Arabidopsis thaliana: one gene and its partners. The protein of the gene in region 2 binds, or shares a complex with, the protein of the main gene of each other region. Each region holds a gene or a part of one and is shown on either strand. Other genes may lie near its edges.

Evidence for each region.
Region 1: DPMS3 (region 2) and DPMS1 share a complex: the UniProt entries of both Arabidopsis thaliana proteins name them as parts of the dolichol-phosphate mannose (DPM) synthase complex.
Region 3: DPMS3 (region 2) and DPMS2 share a complex: the UniProt entries of both Arabidopsis thaliana proteins name them as parts of the dolichol-phosphate mannose (DPM) synthase complex.

The regions. Positions count from the first base shown.
Region 1 is NC_003070.9:7,125,766-7,131,272, reverse strand, and holds DPMS1 (Nucleotide-diphospho-sugar transferases superfamily protein), read left to right. Parts: upstream 1-2,510; 5' UTR 2,511-2,595; coding exon 2,596-2,714; intron 2,715-3,139; coding exon 3,140-3,239; intron 3,240-3,333; coding exon 3,334-3,367; intron 3,368-3,448; coding exon 3,449-3,525; intron 3,526-3,601; coding exon 3,602-3,627; intron 3,628-3,717; coding exon 3,718-3,882; intron 3,883-3,969; coding exon 3,970-4,084; intron 4,085-4,181; coding exon 4,182-4,286; 3' UTR 4,287-4,526; downstream 4,527-5,507. Other genes in the region: AT1G20590 (cyclin), read left to right, coding at 1-107; AT1G20580 (Small nuclear ribonucleoprotein family protein), read right to left, coding at 902-964, 1,132-1,185, 1,282-1,348, 1,442-1,494, 2,136-2,294; AT1G20570 (Spc97 / Spc98 family of spindle pole body (SBP) component), read left to right, coding at 4,714-4,845, 4,924-5,184, 5,280-5,377, 5,476-5,507. UniProt on the Arabidopsis thaliana protein: Transfers mannose from GDP-mannose to dolichol monophosphate to form dolichol phosphate mannose (Dol-P-Man) which is the mannosyl donor in pathways leading to N-glycosylation, glycosyl phosphatidylinositol membrane anchoring, and O-mannosylation of proteins; catalytic subunit of the dolichol-phosphate mannose (DPM) synthase complex.
Region 2 is NC_003070.9:17,779,634-17,785,233, forward strand, and holds DPMS3 (dolichol-phosphate mannosyltransferase-like protein), read left to right. Parts: upstream 1-2,354; 5' UTR 2,355-2,525; intron 2,526-3,763; 5' UTR 3,764-3,768; coding exon 3,769-3,870; intron 3,871-3,967; coding exon 3,968-4,075; intron 4,076-4,221; coding exon 4,222-4,281; 3' UTR 4,282-4,578; downstream 4,579-5,600. Other genes in the region: PER1 (1-cysteine peroxiredoxin 1), read left to right, coding at 977-1,094, 1,183-1,331, 1,421-1,549, 1,613-1,867; AT1G48145 (plant mobile domain protein), read right to left, coding at 4,874-5,179, 5,233-5,280. UniProt on the Arabidopsis thaliana protein: Regulates the biosynthesis of dolichol phosphate-mannose. Regulatory subunit of the dolichol-phosphate mannose (DPM) synthase complex; essential for the ER localization and stable expression of DPMS1.
Region 3 is NC_003070.9:27,947,172-27,954,306, reverse strand, and holds DPMS2 (dolichol phosphate-mannose biosynthesis regulatory protein-like protein), read left to right. Parts: upstream 1-2,638; 5' UTR 2,639-2,742; intron 2,743-2,893; exon of another isoform or gene 2,894-3,023; coding exon of another isoform or gene 3,024-5,285; intron 5,286-5,288; exon of another isoform or gene 5,289-5,516; intron 5,517-5,635; 5' UTR 5,636-5,652; coding exon 5,653-5,742; intron 5,743-5,866; coding exon 5,867-6,019; 3' UTR 6,020-6,262; downstream 6,263-7,135. Other genes in the region: AT1G74360 (Leucine-rich repeat protein kinase family protein), read right to left, coding at 1-8; AT1G74350 (Intron maturase, type II family protein), read left to right, coding at 3,024-5,285. UniProt on the Arabidopsis thaliana protein: Regulates the biosynthesis of dolichol phosphate-mannose. Regulatory subunit of the dolichol-phosphate mannose (DPM) synthase complex; essential for the ER localization and stable expression of DPMS1.

The DNA of each region.
Region 1 (5,507 bases), about 11 Mb from region 2:
AGCTCACAGGAAGTACAACACATCTAAGTTCTTTCATGCTGCAAGAAGTGAACCAGCTGGGTTTCTGCTTTAAGGGAGGAAAAAACTATAATAAGAATCTAATATGACATAACTCGAGTTTTTCTTTTGAACAAAAAGAGTGTGAGAGAAAGAGAGATAGAGCAAGTTGCCCAAATGGGATATGTACAATGGTTGGTTCGGTTCTTCTCTTTTTAAGGTCTTTAAGATCTTTCTTCACTTGAGAGAGAATAAAAAGAATCTTTTGATATCATGCTTTCCTATATTCAACTTGTGAATTGATCCTACTAATTTCATGTATAATCGTTGTAAAATACTCAGGAAACTCTATGACCCATTTTGGTTAATATTACTCAGGAACCGAACCTCTACACTCCATCAAATATTCTTCTACAAGTCGTTTTGGTGTTTGCTGGTACTCTGGAACTAAACTTTTATAGACTAAATATTGTACAAGTCATTTTGGAAATTTTTTGGATAATTTGGGAAAATAGCAGTAGACAAGGTTTTACATGTTGAAAATACAAGTACAATATTATTTTCTAGCTTATATTATTAATGTTATAAATGACCAACTTTGTTTTCTGATCTTAGTCTTATTAAGACCTTTATGAAAACAATGTACTTTGTTTTACTCATCTACTGTCAGAAATGGAGAATGCGCAAAGAAGAAAATAGATCACAACGAAAACTTGTCAATGATTCAAACATCTTGGTAACCCAAAATACAGAACTAGTAGTGCATCTGGATATCTCTCTCTCTTGTTTGGTTTTACAGTGTTCTCTAAAGCATTAATGACAGAACCAAGAAAGGCGGCTTTCACCTGGATATCACAGAAAGACTATCCCAGAATCAAAGCTTACATGTTGAGCGTAAAATCAATCATCTCCTCACAGGTGGTACCGCTCCCCTTCCTCCAGTTCCACGCCCGGGCCCGGCAGCCGGCTTTAAGATAATATCACAAAGATTCAAGAATCTAACCATTAGTAGTGACAAAGAAGAAACAAACCATTAAGGGATAACAAGGATTTGAACATCTTAACAAGTTCCATAAAACTTCCTAACATTGCATTCATGAGCACTAAATCATAAGAGAGAGAGGGTGAACTTACTTTCCCTCGCATTGCACCTCTACCTCTGCCAACACCCAGTGATGAGCTCTTTCCCTACATTGATTAAGCAAGTAAGGTAAGATGTTTGTTGGAGATATGTATAGAGATCCTAATATCATTCTGCATCCAGGGTTCAAAAAGCATATATACCTTGATTCTAGCATCTAACCGCTTGAACATTGGAGCATGTTTGAGAATGTCTGGTATGACCATAAACCTGTCAAGATATATCCGCAGGTCAATTACTAAACAGCTAGGGTTAACAAGAATGATCCCATGAATTACATAAACAAGGAAACAAGTACAGCACCTGACTTTACTGCCTCGAATGAAGACATGCTCAAGCTGTGATACCTTACCATCCTGTAACACAGCATTGGAAAACCCAAAACAAAAGTTCAGTGACAATTAACAAACAAACCCATTAAGTTGACAGATTATTTATGTATACTATGAAGAATAACACTTAAAGAGTTAAGACTTTCTGAATTGAGAACTACATGTAGTTCTTTTCCCAATAATTACAGGTTGACTCAAAACCCATACGGCACAATAATCCGCAAATAAGAGGACGCTTTAAGACCTGCATACTTCAGATAATTCACATTTGACCACTGTATTCCTAAAGAGCAACTTAGGCTTTGGATAAAACGTTACAAAGCACAAACGTAGAACCTTTCTTCTCAGTTATTGATGTGTCCTATAGATCAATAATAAGTTTAACCAATCAGAGGAGACTATACCCTACAGTCAAAATTTATCTAATGTCACTGGCAGGATCACGCATTCTAGGGTTTTATACAGCATGAATTTCAAGGATTCTTAATCTCACTTAGAACTTAAAATAAGAAGCAATCTAAAATTTCCCAGCAAATTTGCCCAGCTCACCAAATCTAGGGTTTTAACAGCACTAACATCAAACAATGAAATTGAAACGAAACCTATGGTTCAAAAAACAGTCTCATATAAAATGAATCGAGATCTTCAGAGTATCAGTTGATTACCTTGGCGGTATAAGTAATATCCTCGAGCTGACAGTTCCAGTTATCCTCACACTCAATCATACTTCCTCTGTAAAGCTCGCCGCTCTTTAGCTCCACCGTCACGATATGACCTGAGGCCTCGTGAAGAAGCTTCACCGGTATTCCCAAACTTCGGCTCATCTTTCTCTCTACAAAACCCTAATTGAAAACCTTCTCCTTTAACTCTGCAACCTAGAAAGAAAAAAATGGCGGAAGGAAAGAAGAGCGACTCAGATGCGATTGACGAGTTTACCTCTTTTAAAGCTTTCCTGATTTATTTTTGGGCTTTATATAGGCCCATATTTATATTAGGCCCAATTTGAGAAACTTGCTTTTTAGTCCCTATATTTGACATTATTTTAATCCTTATTTTTGTACAGACGACGGCTGATTTCACGGGTTAAGACGAAGGAACCACCGTTACCAAAACTCGCCGGAAGAGATGGCGGACGAGATGGAGACCAAAGGAGAGAAGAAGTACAAGTATAGCATAATCATTCCTACCTACAACGAGCGCCTCAACATCGCTATCATAGTCTACCTGATTTTCAAGCATCTCCGGTAAATGAATATTTATTTCTTTTGGTCTTTTCACGTTCATTCTTTCATTTCAGAATCGGAATTACGTTTTTTGTTATTCTTTTACTGAATACTCGAACCTGATCGCCAATTTCAAGTTACGGATCTCGGAAATTTTCCGATCATGTTTCTGTAGATTGCAGATCCTAATTCGTGATTTGTTGTTTCTGTGCATGAGCTAGTAAAGGCCAATGTAGTGATCCCTCAAACTATATAGTAGTAGTTTCATGGTGTTTTAAAAACTTTGATTTAGTGATCGGAGAATAGTCAGAAGCTACATGTGCTAATCTTAGATCGATTCTGGTTATGGCTGCTTATATGAAATTAATATAGAATTGCACTTGTTAAGTAGACTCTTTGTTAACTGTTACTGAGAATTTGCTTCGCTACTTGTTTGTATGATTTAGGGACGTTGATTTTGAGATAATTGTTGTGGATGATGGGAGTCCTGATGGCACACAGGAAATTGTCAAGCAACTGCAGCAATTGTATGGTGAAGACCGTATCGTGAGTACAATGATGTGTTAAGACCTTAATTTGTAAATTATTGGGCGTTCTTCTGTTTAGGTGAAATCATGTTTTTATCTTTTTTATGATGCAGCTTTTAAGAGCTAGAGCCAAGAAGCTTGGTTTGGGTATGTAATTTGTATCTTCATTGTCTTCTAGTTTTGGTTAACAAGAAATGAAATTAATTTTCTTGGCATGGTCAATCTCAGGAACTGCATATATTCATGGTTTGAAGCATGCTACGGGTGATTTCGTCGTGATCATGGATGCTGATCTTTCACATCATGTAAGAGCCATTAATTTAGTTTTCTTGTTTACCTGTTTAATTGTTTAGCTAACCCAGTCACTTTTCTTCTGTGCAGCCAAAATACTTACCAAGTTTCATCAAGTAAGAAAAAGAAGAGTCTCTTGATCTCTTACTAGTTTCACAACCTATAGTGACTTCAACTGATTTGTTTTTTTTCTTATTATCATAAAGGAAACAACTAGAGACAAATGCAAGTATAGTAACTGGTACACGATATGTAAAAGGTGGTGGTGTACACGGGTGGAATCTTATGCGGAAACTCACTAGTAGAGGAGCAAATGTGCTAGCTCAAACACTTTTATGGCCTGGTGTATCTGATTTAACAGGATCATTCCGGTATAATTCAAATAACATATGCGCATATTTTTAACTGACATCATTTGATAGTATCATGTCTGACCTCCGCACCTCTTTGTTTGGAAGGCTATACAAGAAATCGGCGCTTGAAGACGTGATTAGCTCATGTGTGAGTAAAGGGTATGTCTTTCAGATGGAAATGATTGTTCGTGCAACCAGAAAAGGATACCATATTGAAGAGGTCTCTCTTTTTATACCAATTCACTGTGATTTTGATTCTTTCTAAACTATATTTCCATTCATATTCTTGATTCTCTGGTGCTCATCTTCATCTGCAGGTACCGATCACTTTTGTTGACAGAGTCTTTGGAACTTCGAAACTCGGAGGATCTGAAATAGTGGAATATCTAAAAGGCCTCGTCTATCTCCTGCTTACAACTTAAGACACACCAAGCAACTCAACAACACACGAGTCTCTCTTTATACTCTTCATTTGTTCCATTGCTTCATAGATTTCTCTTAACAGTTGAACTCTGATCATGTCGTTTAGAAACTTCACTTACTTTGACTTCAGAGAGTCGCATCTTTTAAGACTCAAAAGTTCATATTATAGACATTGTTGATTTTGAATGTTGAGTTGAGATATCTTACATTTCATAAATACCTTAACCAACCAACCAAAGAAGGTTTTATGTTTTAGATCGTTCGTAATGTGATAATCTTTGTCACTGCGACGGGCCTTTATAATTTGGGCCCATTTGAGACCTTTCTTCACTTGCTCTCACTCACTCTCTCTCAAATTCACCCACATCAAAGCTTCTCCGATTTCCCTCCGAACCAATTTGGTATGTGAAAATCAAATTCACAGTGATGTCTGAGTCGTTGCTTCGTATTGATCACGCCGGCTTAGACACCCTAATTCCGGGAATGATGTGCAGTCACAGAGTTTGGACACACTCAGAACTAGCTCCTCCTTCAGTGAGCGTGAATGAATCCCATCTGGTAATGCCACAAACACTACTCTTTTCAAATTCTTTTCGGCAAAGCAACTTAAACCCTTTTTCTCCGGAGGTTAATTAGGTGAAAGGTCTCTTACAAGCTTTGCAAGGTTTCTCTAGTCCCTTCATTTTCTGGGACCGAAAGGAACAAACTTTCCGCGCTAAAAGTGAGATACGAGTTTCTCATTTGTCTCAGTCAAGCCTTCATGTCCTTCTCGCTGGATTTTTGTATGCTGCTACATGTTTGAAGCTTGTGGAGTCTATTGTTAGTGGAATTAATGCCTCTCTTAAATCTCCTCCTACTTTAATGGCATTTTCGAACTCTGCCTCTGGTTGGCTTGAGGCAAGTAGTCCACAACTCCCTATTAGTTTTTTTATTTATTTATTTGGCTTGTTCTTGAATATTTGAGACTGATGTACAATTGGGTATTGGAACAGAGACTTAGAGATATTGCTTTGAATGAGGAAGTGAAGATCAACGATTCTAATGTTGCTGTTACTCCAACTCTTTTGGGATTAACTAGTTCTTTATCTAGGTGTGTAGCCTAGATCATTTTCATATATTGAATGCTGTTTCTCGGTTCAAGAACTATATTTAATAGCAGTCTTCAGTTTTTTTCTTTCTATTTGCTAGTCTGTGTTCAGATGCTGAATACCTTTTCCAAG
Region 2 (5,600 bases):
ATATCACAGGACAATAAACACAATGATCAGTGATTATACAACATCAAAGAAAACTTGTAATTCTGGGAATATAACTGAGAAATGAGAATTAAAGATTCATAATTTGAACACAAGAAATCCTAAACTGGTACGAAAGAAAAATTGCTCAACAAAAAAATCAAGCTAATTACTCGTATACAAAGACACGAAGAACTAATACAAGAAACAAGAAACAACAAACCACAAAGAGATTGAACCAATCCAAATTCGACAACATAAACCAAGTGTGTGGGTGATTGGAATCAGAGGACGTACCAAAGAAAAGCGTCCGTGATCAACAAAAACCAAAAAGAGACGTTTGAAATAAACCAGAGGAAGACGAAGAATAATTAAGCAAAGAGAAGCGTTAAGCGGGAGCGAGAAAGGAAACGAGAGAAAGAGAGAGCTTCCAGATCCGACAGAAGTTTTCGGCTTCTTCTTTTTCGTTTAAGAACTTCTGATCCTCCTAGGTCTGTCCGAAGAACTAATCTTTTTGAGGTAACGACGCCGTTTTTCTCAAAACATGGGCCCATTAACCATAGTCTCGGCCCAAACGAAACTTAATACGACAATGTTTGGGTGTAAACGCAAAGATTTTGTCGATTATCACAAGTAAAAAAATAAATACAAACACTTGAGTCTCTCTAGACATCGTGCGTCGCCTTAGCTTTAAGTTTTTTCTCGAAACAAAAGAGTTATTTTATTTGAACTTTGAAGATTATACGAAGACACGTGGCGTGAACCCAATTCATAACAACGCCACGCTATACTCTTTTGCATGCACCTCAATTTGAACATCATCAAGTCTCTCTCTCTCTTTTTCTGACTTTGATCCACGAACCTAACCAGCTTGCGATCTCTATTTAATCGGTCCTCGACGCAACTTCAACTTCTACTACATCCATTCACATCAAATCAATACAGAAAGTTTTTTCTATATATAAATATAAAAGGTAAAATGCCAGGGATCACACTAGGAGACACGGTGCCGAACCTAGAAGTGGAGACGACACATGACAAGTTCAAACTTCATGACTACTTCGCCAATTCTTGGACCGTCCTCTTCTCTCATCCCGGTATATATGTTAATATATAGATCTTGAGTTCTTGACTTCTGTTGCAATTCCTTTTTTGTTTTCTTGATTTTTGTTGACGGTCACACAGGGGATTTCACACCCGTGTGCACCACGGAGCTTGGTGCGATGGCCAAATACGCTCATGAGTTCGATAAGAGAGGCGTGAAGCTCCTTGGTCTGTCTTGTGACGATGTACAGTCACACAAAGACTGGATCAAAGATATTGAAGCCTTTAATGTATAATTTAAATCTCATGCATGCATATACCAGACTAGCTAGAGATCATATTTTGGTTTTGATTAATTTGTTACATATGTATGATATAGCACGGAAGCAAGGTGAATTACCCGATAATCGCTGACCCGAACAAAGAGATCATTCCTCAGCTTAACATGATTGATCCAATTGAGAACGGACCGTCTCGTGCCCTTCATATTGTTGGTCCTGACAGTAAGGTAATAATTTCATATATTATTGCATGTATGATTTTATTGGTTAATTGGATTTGTGATATATAGATAAAATTGAGCTTCTTGTATCCGTCGACCACGGGACGTAACATGGACGAAGTATTGAGGGCTTTAGACTCGTTGTTGATGGCGTCCAAGCACAATAACAAGATCGCCACTCCGGTTAACTGGAAGCCAGATCAACCGGTTGTGATTTCGCCTGCTGTGTCGGACGAGGAAGCCAAAAAGATGTTCCCACAGGGTTTCAAGACCGCCGATCTTCCGTCAAAGAAAGGCTATCTGCGTCACACAGAGGTCTCTTGAAAAGATAATAACAAAAGCCTACTATATAACGTACATGCAAGTATTGTATGATATTAATGTTTTTACGTACGTGTAAACAAAAATAATTACGTTTGTAACGTATGGTGATGATGTGGTGCACTAGGTGTAGGCCTTGTATTAATAAAAAGAAGTTTGTTCTATATAGAGTGGTTTAGTACGACGATTTATTTACTAGTCGGATTGGAATAGAGAACCGAATTCTTCAATCCTTGCTTTTGATCAAGAATTGAAACCGAATCAAATGTAAAAGTTGATATATTTGAAAAACGTATTGAGCTTATGAAAATGCTAATACTCTCATCTGTATGGAAAAGTGACTTTAAAACCGAACTTAAAAGTGACAAAAGGGGAATATCGCATCAAACCGAATGAAACCGATATGAAACCGCATCAAACCGATATAGCGTGAACCAAAATGTGGATTAATGACATTTAGACCGGAGGAACATAAGTGGGGACTATACGGCATCGTTTTAGTGTATAAGTGAATTCGCATATTCACGAGTTCCCCGTATTCACCGGTTGTTATATCGTCGATTCATCGTCGTCGACGGCGAGTACTTGTGACCTCCACACCCAGATTAATCTTCTATAACTGATTTTATCGCTTAGACGATCACGATCTCATCGATTAACTGTGAGTATAATCGATTCCTCCTCTTTATTTTGTGTGTTGTATCGATTTACGATAATTTTTTGGAGGAACATCTCCTTTCGGATCGGTTTTGTTGGGAATTTATATTTCTTTGCCATGGTTTTATCTTGATTTGGTGATTTACCTTGTGTTTGTTCTGGTGTACTATTTAGCTAATTTAGTATAAGCTTTCAGATGATTCTAGGAAACTTTTGTGCTACTGTTTTCGGTTTTTGGTGATAGAACTATGTAGTTTTAAGGAACCATATAAAAATTTCGTCTAGAAATGTTTCTATGGTTACTGATCAGTCATCAGTGGTAGCGATATGAAATTGGAATCCTGTTTTTTGTTACACGGTTCGATTCAGATGCTTTCGATTCAAATCCTGTTTAAGCAGCTCAGGTTCTTTAGAATTCTTGTTTTTTAAATGCTTCTTGCCTGAATGTAAGGGATTTTTTTTGCTATTGCTTTGGTTCCTGTGATTGTTTTTCTTACCTCCTCTGATGTTACATGATCAGCATTTGTGAATTTGGATTCTTGGAAGCTAACACAATTCTTAGGATTAAGTTTCGTATGGTCTGAGACTTTGAGTTCTTGACGTTTGGTCTGAGGAACTGTTGGAACTCATTGATTTTGTATCGGTTCTGTAGCTTCAGTTCGGACTTGATCATCTCAGGAATTGGAAATTGTTTTTTTTTGATGTTACAATATTTCGGAGTCAGATAATTTTCAATTTCTTATTTTGTTTATCCCAGTCAGAGGTCATTGTCGAAAAAGTACGGATTGATCTGGATATAGCATGATGGTTTGAGTTGTATAAACTGGGTTACTGAGCTGTTCAGATTGTGCTAGATTCTAGTTTTACTTTGATGTTTGGAAATTATGTGCGCGTCTTTGTGTTAGTGAACATTACACACTGAAACATGAAAATCCATTTGCTTTGTTGAGACTCCATCTAGTTACAACTGATAGCTATTATTGGTATATTTCTTATGGTTTGAGCTTGTGATCAATTTTGGTGGGGTAAATGGGATGTTAATATTGCTCTTGAGGAATATATGTGTTGATCATGACAACTACGAAATTGTGAATAGTTCATTGATTTACTAGATTTTGTTTATTAGGCTCGCTGAGTGATTTCTTTTACATGCTCTACAACTTCTTGGAGAATGCTGTGATCGTCTATGCATTTCTATTCGCAGCTAACTTAAACTCTTTTACATAATTTTTTACTTTAAAGGACAAATGAAGCATATAGTAAAGATCTTGAGCCTGTTGGTGGCTATCTCTGCCTTCTGGATTGGTCTTTTGCAGGCTGCAATTATTCCTCGAAGCCATACATGGTTGGTGAGTAACAAACAATTTTGTCCTCTTTTTTGGTTTCTTGCTTTTTTGAAATTAGGATTCTGTTCTGATTTGGTATTATTGCCGGTCTGTCTTACAGCTACCGATCTACTTTGTTGTATCCCTCGGATGCTATGGCCTATTAATGGTTGGAGTCGGGCTCATGCAGTTTCCTACTTGCCCCCAAGAAGCAGTTCTGCTGCAGAAGGTACTTTTGAGACTAGCTCTTTGTTTGCCATAGTCGGCCTTGTTCTTATTTTTCATCCTGCTCTATACGGATTCGTGTTATCTAATGTTGACATCCTTCAATATTTTTGCTAATTTAGTGTCTTTTATCTGTTTCTTTGGTTGCAGGATATTGCAGAGGCTAAGGACTTCTTCAAGCACAAAGGGGTAGATGTTGGATCGAATTGACACAAAGGCTTTTATCAGACCATTCATCAGAGATATTTTTCGTTATTGACAAAAGACTTAACTGTACTGTTTGGAATTTTTGAATTTAACAGTGTCACTGAGGTAAAACGCAAAAGCTTCGTATGCATCCAAAAGTAATCGCAAAAGTATAACAAATATTCCAAATTGCAGAAACTTATTAGTAACAATAGAAGCATTTACATTTTCTTGTGGTGAATTACCATAAAGCTTTGGCCTTTGTGTCTAGTAAGTTCTCCAGGTATGCAAAAGAGATCGCATCAACAGATTGAATCAGGCTATCCTCTGTACGAAAACTCTGATATGCAACACACCAAGAAGGTATTAAGTCGCTCATAACTGAGTAGGTTTCAAAAGATACAAATGAAACATTTGGAACCAAACCAGTTTTTAAAAGATACTAAGCAGGAAAATCAAAAGACACTGAACCAAAAAGATCATAAAGATATGACTTTGATATTCAACTTGCATTTGCCTTCTCCTTTCTTTATCTGTCCACAACAACACCTAATTCAAACCAGCTGCTTTTCTGTGTGTTTATGGCTCTCCTTTCGTTCAACCATGCCACAGTTCTTTATGCCTTAAGAATACGCTCCTCTATCGACAATGCTAGCACATTCAGCTCTTGAAATCTCTTATCAGTCTTGTCATTGTTATCAACATCACCTTCACCAAAATCATTGTTTCCCTTTTCAGAGTACTGCTCATTGGATTTCATAGTTTCTTCACTTCTGATGCTATCATCATGAAGCAAACAACAATCCTGTCCCTCATTTCCATCCCCTACAGCGATGTGAATGTTTGACTCATCAGATGACTTCAGAACCTTATGCTTATATGCTTTTCTTGTTTCATCTCCATTCGTGCATCCAGAAGCAAACTTTTTATGAGGGCTAGATTTTTTTTGTTGTTGTCTGCCTTTAATGCTAGCACCTTCTCATGCATTGATCCTTCCATCAGCATCTTCCTTCTCTGCTTCATTACATCAAACACTTTGGTTCGAGCTTGAGCTCTCCTCTGCTGACCCTTCAACAACTTTGTTGGAGCTTTTTTTTTGTGTTTGATCTTTTCTTCTTACTGTTTATGGTTGTTTGTCTGATATTGTTGTTGTTGTTTTGGTTAAGGAGGATGTGGGTGCTTGTGTTGTATTACTCTCCAAGTACGATCCTGTTTTTCTTCTTCTTTTCTCTTCTCTCATGCATAATCTGATTCTGAATTTATAGTGTTTGTGTTGATATTTGATGATAACAGTTGTGATTAGATGCAATAATCTTGATGATCTTAATGAAAATGTTTGTTTG
Region 3 (7,135 bases), about 10 Mb from region 2:
ATAGTCATCGTCCTCCTCCACTTGGTCTTCTTGGTTTGCTTCTTTACTGTCCTCTGCGATGTTCCTCGAGAAGATGTGGAAATTATCGGGGAAGAAGATGAATTTCATGGAAATTCATGTGTGGAAAGAGATTTGAGAAAAAGAGAAGTTGGAAAAAAACACAAAGCAGCCCGCACGTAGACCAAGCAACTGAAAAACTTTGAACATCACACAGATTTATTCCTATTTATTAGACTTTTCCTCAAACACAAAAATTAATTACAAAAAGGTGAAATTGAGTCATCATATTATGCTAATTTTGACCCGTATAAACGTATATATTACGTTACTAGTCTTTATCAAAAATTTCTTAAGGAAAAATACCGCATTTGTTGAATATTTCAAAAATTGAACTTTGAAGTCGTTTAGAACAAAAACAAAATTGATGTTTTATCGACTAGATGAGTCTCATATGACTAAAACTAAACCATAACTCATTTTAGTTCTCCTTAGAAAAAGTAAACAATTACAAATATTGTTTTTGATTCACCATTAGCTTTTCTTTTAATTTGTACGGTACCACTTGCGCACTCAAGAACTTATCCTAGTGGGTAACATTTAATAAATTTTGACAGTTTGAACTTATATATATTGAAGTATGTGTGAGTTTAGAAATTTTAATCGTGTGATTTGGTTAAAAAAACCATAAAATTAGATTACTTTATTTAAGTTAACTCGCGAGGGCAACAATTAGGTGAGCAGTTGTGACATCTAAGTTGACCGGTCCAGAGTAGTTTGACTTCGTGTCAGAGTTGGTAAGTTTATGATAATAGATAAAACTTTTGCATAATGTAAATCTAAAAATTACGTTACATACAATATATGGTGAATGTGACTTATGTAGCATTAAAAGATATATTTGCTTCTCCAGAGATTTAAAAGTGTTATTTAACTAAGTTTTAGACGACTAAAGAGAAGAAATTGGCATCATTTTGAAATGTTCAAAAAATTAAAGATATTTTACTAAAAAGAGGTTAACAAAATATACATGTATATGGTGGGGTCCAATGTGATTCATATGGACGGCACTAGTTGACTTACTTCGTGCTTTGACCAATGTTTTTTTTTTAAATCATTGTTAATCATTAAATCTCATCTTATTCGTTTCTTTTGTTTGTTATTTATTTTCCCGTTATAAATATTTTTCTCTTACCTTTTTTTTTTCTTCGTGATAAGAGTCAAATGCGTGTATTATTTTACCTTGATTAGTCTAAGTATTCAATTAATTTTGAATTGAATAGTATAACACTTCGTGATAGACCATTGATATTTTTTTGAATTAGAAAATTCAGAGGCTACTATTCTCTTCCATAAAGAGAACAATATAAAAAAGGAATTATAGTTAATTGCTAAAATGATATTTTGTGTCATTAGAAACAAAATCTGCAAAAAGTAGTATTACTCAGAAACAAATCAAACTTTCAAAGTTGTTGATAGATGATATGCAACAAGATTTAGGATAATCATCTAATATTTTTTATCTTAAAAATAGTCTACTTATATGTTTATCAACTACAGTCATATTTCTATAACTTCAATTTTATTACTTTAAAGATACAGTAGTAGCTTCAAGCTTCAACTAATCATAGTAGGAAGTTGAATCACTCTCTTCTGCCACATATGTTTCAAGCATCCATGTTGTGTCTTCTGACACTAGAATGCATAATGATCAAAATTCTAAAAAAATCAAAGTGGTACCAATTTTAAAGTTATTAACTTCCACCAGTTGAAAAGAAAAAACTAAAGGAAACCTCCGATAAAAAAACAATGGTCCATTCAACAACACTAAGGACGTGTGAATGGTATTGAGCCAACATTGTTCATGCCAAAACAACTAAGGCAAACAACTAAGGCGACCAAACAAAAGAAAATTTTGCTATGAAATTTAAAAGTCCATGCCACTTGAAAGCCACGTCGTTTGTGCGTTTTGGTTTTTCTCTGCGTACCCATTTGTTGTTTTGATGTTTCCATTGGTCAAATTCAACATTATCACCTAAAATAACTTGCACATGCACGACACCAAATTAAATAGCTTTGGATCCAATAAGAGAAAGTATATATTGTAGGTACTAATATATCCACTCGCTCTAATCCGACCCAAACCCGAGTTCTTGAACCTTGAAACCTTTTAAACAATTAGAGGTTTAGGGGGTACGTAAACTTAAAACGTAGCTCAATATTAGATATTATTGTATTCGTGGGGGAATGAATATAAGCAAAGCATGAAGCAACGCATTTTACATATAAGAAAGTGTCAATTGATAGGAAACTGATAAACAATTGAACAAGTAGATGATGTCGGTCCACCGCGTAGGAAGAGCTGATCACTCATGTTTCTATCTTAATTATCAAACTGAATTAACGAATTTATTAATTTAATCATTTATCATTTAATGATATTTTTGTCTATATTTTTTCTTGCGCTTTCATGGTAAATGAAACTGCCTCATTGTTGCGTACTAAATTACCTGTAAGTCTGTTATAAAAAAAATGTTTAAAACATAAATATTCTACAACTAAAGGTGTCAAAATGTAATTTATAGAAGTAAGCAATAGTTTATGTTATTTCATAAATAGTCCCTCCTTCCTTCCTATTCTCAAGTCACGAGTTCTTCTTCTCAATCTCGAGTAATTCACTGTGCAAAGCAAGAGCTTCTTCGATTTCTATCTCTCAGACCAATCGTGCTTTTCGCATCCCTGAACGTAAGTTTCCTTCCATTTCTGTGTTGATTTAAGCAAAGAGATTGATAAAAACCTGATTCGTCCCGTTTCATTGTAGAAACTTTGTACTGGCTTAGTCGGGATATAATCGCATAGGTTTTAGAATTAGGAATCGGAATTTTAACTTGATGTTTAGGAAACGGAACCTAGTTTTAGATTTGTTGCGCCGATGTTACATAGAAACCCTAATCCCACGGGGCTTATGGAGTCGCACAATCTCCACGTTTCCCAAATCGGCTCTGCTTGCAACAGATAATGCAGAAATGGCTAGTAAGGAAACTGGAATGTTTTCACTAGCTGGGGAATTAGCTTCTCTTGTAGAAGAATCTTCTTCTCATGTTGATGATGATAGCAAACCTAGAAGTCGTATGGAACTAAAACGATCTCTTGAACTCCGGTTGAAGAAAAGAGTCAAAGAGCAGTGCATCAATGGGAAGTTTAGTGATCTGTTGAAGAAGGTGATTGCAAGGCCTGAAACTCTCCGGGATGCTTATGATTGTATTAGGCTTAACTCCAATGTTTCTATAACAGAAAGAAATGGTAGTGTCGCGTTTGATTCTATTGCAGAAGAGCTCTCTAGTGGGGTGTTTGATGTTGCTTCAAATACGTTTTCGATTGTGGCTAGAGATAAAACAAAAGAGGTCCTTGTCTTGCCTAGTGTAGCTCTTAAAGTTGTCCAAGAGGCTATCAGAATAGTTCTTGAAGTTGTTTTCAGTCCTCATTTTTCTAAGATTTCACATAGTTGTCGAAGCGGAAGGGGACGTGCCTCTGCATTGAAGTACATCAACAACAATATTTCTCGTTCGGATTGGTGTTTCACTTTGAGCCTGAACAAAAAACTTGATGTTTCTGTTTTCGAGAACTTGCTCTCTGTAATGGAGGAAAAAGTAGAAGACAGCAGTTTAAGCATCTTACTCCGTTCTATGTTTGAAGCCCGGGTGCTCAATCTCGAGTTCGGAGGATTTCCCAAGGGCCATGGTCTTCCACAAGAAGGGGTGTTGTCCCGTGTATTAATGAACATATATCTTGATCGGTTTGATCATGAATTTTATAGAATCTCAATGAGGCATGAAGCCCTTGGTCTTGATTCAAAGACTGATGAAGATAGCCCAGGCTCAAAACTTCGTTCCTGGTTTAGGAGGCAAGCCGGAGAACAAGGTTTGAAAAGTACTACAGAGCAGGACGTTGCACTCAGAGTTTATTGCTGCAGATTTATGGATGAGATATATTTCTCTGTGTCTGGTCCCAAGAAAGTTGCAAGTGATATCAGATCTGAAGCTATAGGTTTCTTACGGAACTCACTGCATTTGGACATCACAGATGAGACAGACCCGTCACCATGTGAAGCGACCAGTGGGCTTCGTGTTTTGGGTACCTTGGTTAGGAAAAATGTTAGGGAGAGTCCCACTGTCAAAGCTGTTCACAAGTTAAAGGAGAAGGTTAGGCTCTTTGCATTGCAGAAAGAAGAGGCTTGGACCTTAGGTACAGTTAGAATTGGAAAGAAATGGTTAGGACATGGATTGAAGAAAGTCAAAGAGTCAGAAATCAAAGGTTTGGCGGATAGTAACTCTACCTTGAGTCAAATATCTTGCCACAGAAAGGCAGGCATGGAAACAGATCATTGGTATAAGATCTTGCTTAGAATATGGATGGAGGACGTGCTAAGAACCTCTGCAGATAGAAGCGAGGAGTTTGTCTTGTCCAAGCATGTTGTAGAACCTACTGTTCCTCAAGAACTAAGAGATGCGTTTTACAAGTTCCAAAACGCTGCTGCGGCATATGTTTCATCAGAGACGGCTAATCTGGAAGCGCTTTTGCCATGTCCACAATCTCATGATAGACCTGTTTTCTTTGGTGATGTTGTCGCTCCGACTAATGCTATAGGAAGGCGTCTTTATCGCTACGGATTAATAACAGCCAAGGGTTATGCTCGTTCAAATTCTATGCTTATTTTGCTAGATACTGCCCAAATAATTGATTGGTATTCAGGACTTGTTCGGCGATGGGTGATTTGGTATGAAGGCTGTAGTAATTTTGATGAGATAAAGGCTCTTATTGATAATCAGATCAGAATGTCATGCATCCGTACTTTGGCAGCAAAATATCGAATACATGAAAATGAAATAGAGAAACGCCTTGATTTGGAACTGAGCACTATTCCCTCTGCTGAAGATATAGAACAGGAAATACAACATGAGAAACTAGATTCTCCTGCTTTTGACAGGGATGAACATCTAACATACGGCCTTTCCAATAGTGGTTTGTGTTTATTGTCTTTAGCTCGATTAGTGAGCGAATCAAGGCCTTGCAATTGCTTCGTAATTGGTTGTTCGATGGCTGCACCTGCTGTTTATACTTTACATGCAATGGAGAGACAGAAGTTTCCAGGTTGGAAAACTGGATTTTCTGTTTGTATTCCTTCTAGCTTAAATGGAAGGAGAATAGGGCTGTGTAAGCAACACCTCAAAGATCTGTATATAGGTCAAATATCACTTCAAGCTGTTGATTTTGGAGCCTGGAGATGATTACTACTCTCCACGACAAGAGTCTTGCAAGTGTTTGATTCTTCCTAGGTCAACTCTGATTCGTTTTAGGCAGTTGTTGAGCTTTGTGTATCTGATGTCTAGCAAATCATATGTCCGGTGATTATCGTTCTTCAAATGTTTTAATTTCTAGAGGCCTTGTGCAGTAGCACAGTTTGCATACCCTCAGAACATAAAACCATGGCATTAGCTGGTCTAATGGGAAAAGTCTAGGTGAAATGGTCTCATTGACATTCACAATATAACTTCCTTCACTTTTGACTGTATCTTCCAATGCTTAGCTTCTTGAATTTTTCTGATTTTTTTCTCACAATTGATTTGCGGTGCTGCAGGTTTTGAACTTGACAAAATGGAATTAGCGGATCGAGCAGTCGGGCTTCTACTATCTTCAATCAGCTTGTCCATATTCACGTACTATACTTTTTGGGTCATCATCCTGGTAAGTGACAACATCTCCCCCAAGTTCCTTAAAAAGACATTGTCAGTTTGATGTACCAATGTCATCTAATGTTTAGGATATTACTAGGAAAAAGCTGACATAATAGAATTTTCGTTTTGTACAGCCATTTGTAGATAGTGATCACTTCATCCACAAGTACTTCTTACCCCAAGACTATGCCATTCTCGTACCTGTCTTTGCCGGCATAGCTCTTCTCTCTCTCATTTCCGTATTCATCGGCATGGTCATGCTCAAATCCAAAAAGAAGAAGGCTTAATTTCATTCAACTCTTGCCGTAAGACAAAGTTCTGTCCTTGTTTCTTAAGTTGTCCCTACATTGTTTTGGTCTTTCAGAGGTTTAGTCCGGAAACTTTAAATGGGTGTCGTTGAACCGTACGAGACTATATCTTATTGACTCTAAATACATACACATGTTAAGCTCAAATAAATTCTTGAGAGAATATATACTAATGATGATGGATTTTAGGCTCCCTGACAATTCAACTAAAAAACTATTTACAGAATATACGAATGATTTAGATGAATGATGCATTTCACGAATATATATATTTGTTTCTTATTTTGTCTTTTGTGTATTCTCCATATGGCAGTTACTGATCTATTTTCTTTTCTGGTTTCGTCTTTTTTAGAGAGAAAAATAAATAAAATTGACTGATAGGAATTCAGTTTGTTAGCAATATAAGCACCTTAAATCATAATTAGTGCTTTTGAAAGTTGAGAAACAGATATATTATGAAAAATATCAGTAGTAGTAGTCATCATAGGCTAAGAGCTGGCAAAGCATTAGAGACACAAGTGAGTTTTCTCTTTGCAATTATTCTATGTCTGTAATGAATTTTGGTTTTGACTTATCTTATGAAATTTAATCATAGTTTTAGCTTTTTCTAATCTCATTAGCACTACTTAGTGCTTATGGATAAATCATTTCAAGTCATCTTCGTACAATTAATAAAATCAATAGCCCATTCACTTGTACTGTACTAGAGACCAAAACTTAATACATACAACCAAAAATCAATTTCCTTTTTTATTTTATTTTCCAACACGCTTTGAATTCTGTTCTACCACATTTGTATAGTCAATTCTTTATTTCAACAAAAAAGCTGTCATTAACTATTTGCTAAAATAGGTTTCAAAATTTTGGAAGGTGTAGATTCGTTTTTTTGGACCAGACTAATAAATGCATGTTTTCTTTTTGAAGTAATGTACCGTCTTCTTCTGATAAAAAAGTGAAGAGCCTAAAACATTCTCTTCTGAACCTTCATTATAAAAATATATACGAAACCTCTCAAGTTTTCAGGAGATTCACTTTGGTTCCGGATCCGAATTACGGCGACGGATCTTATCGTGACGGCGCCGGAATATACGGATA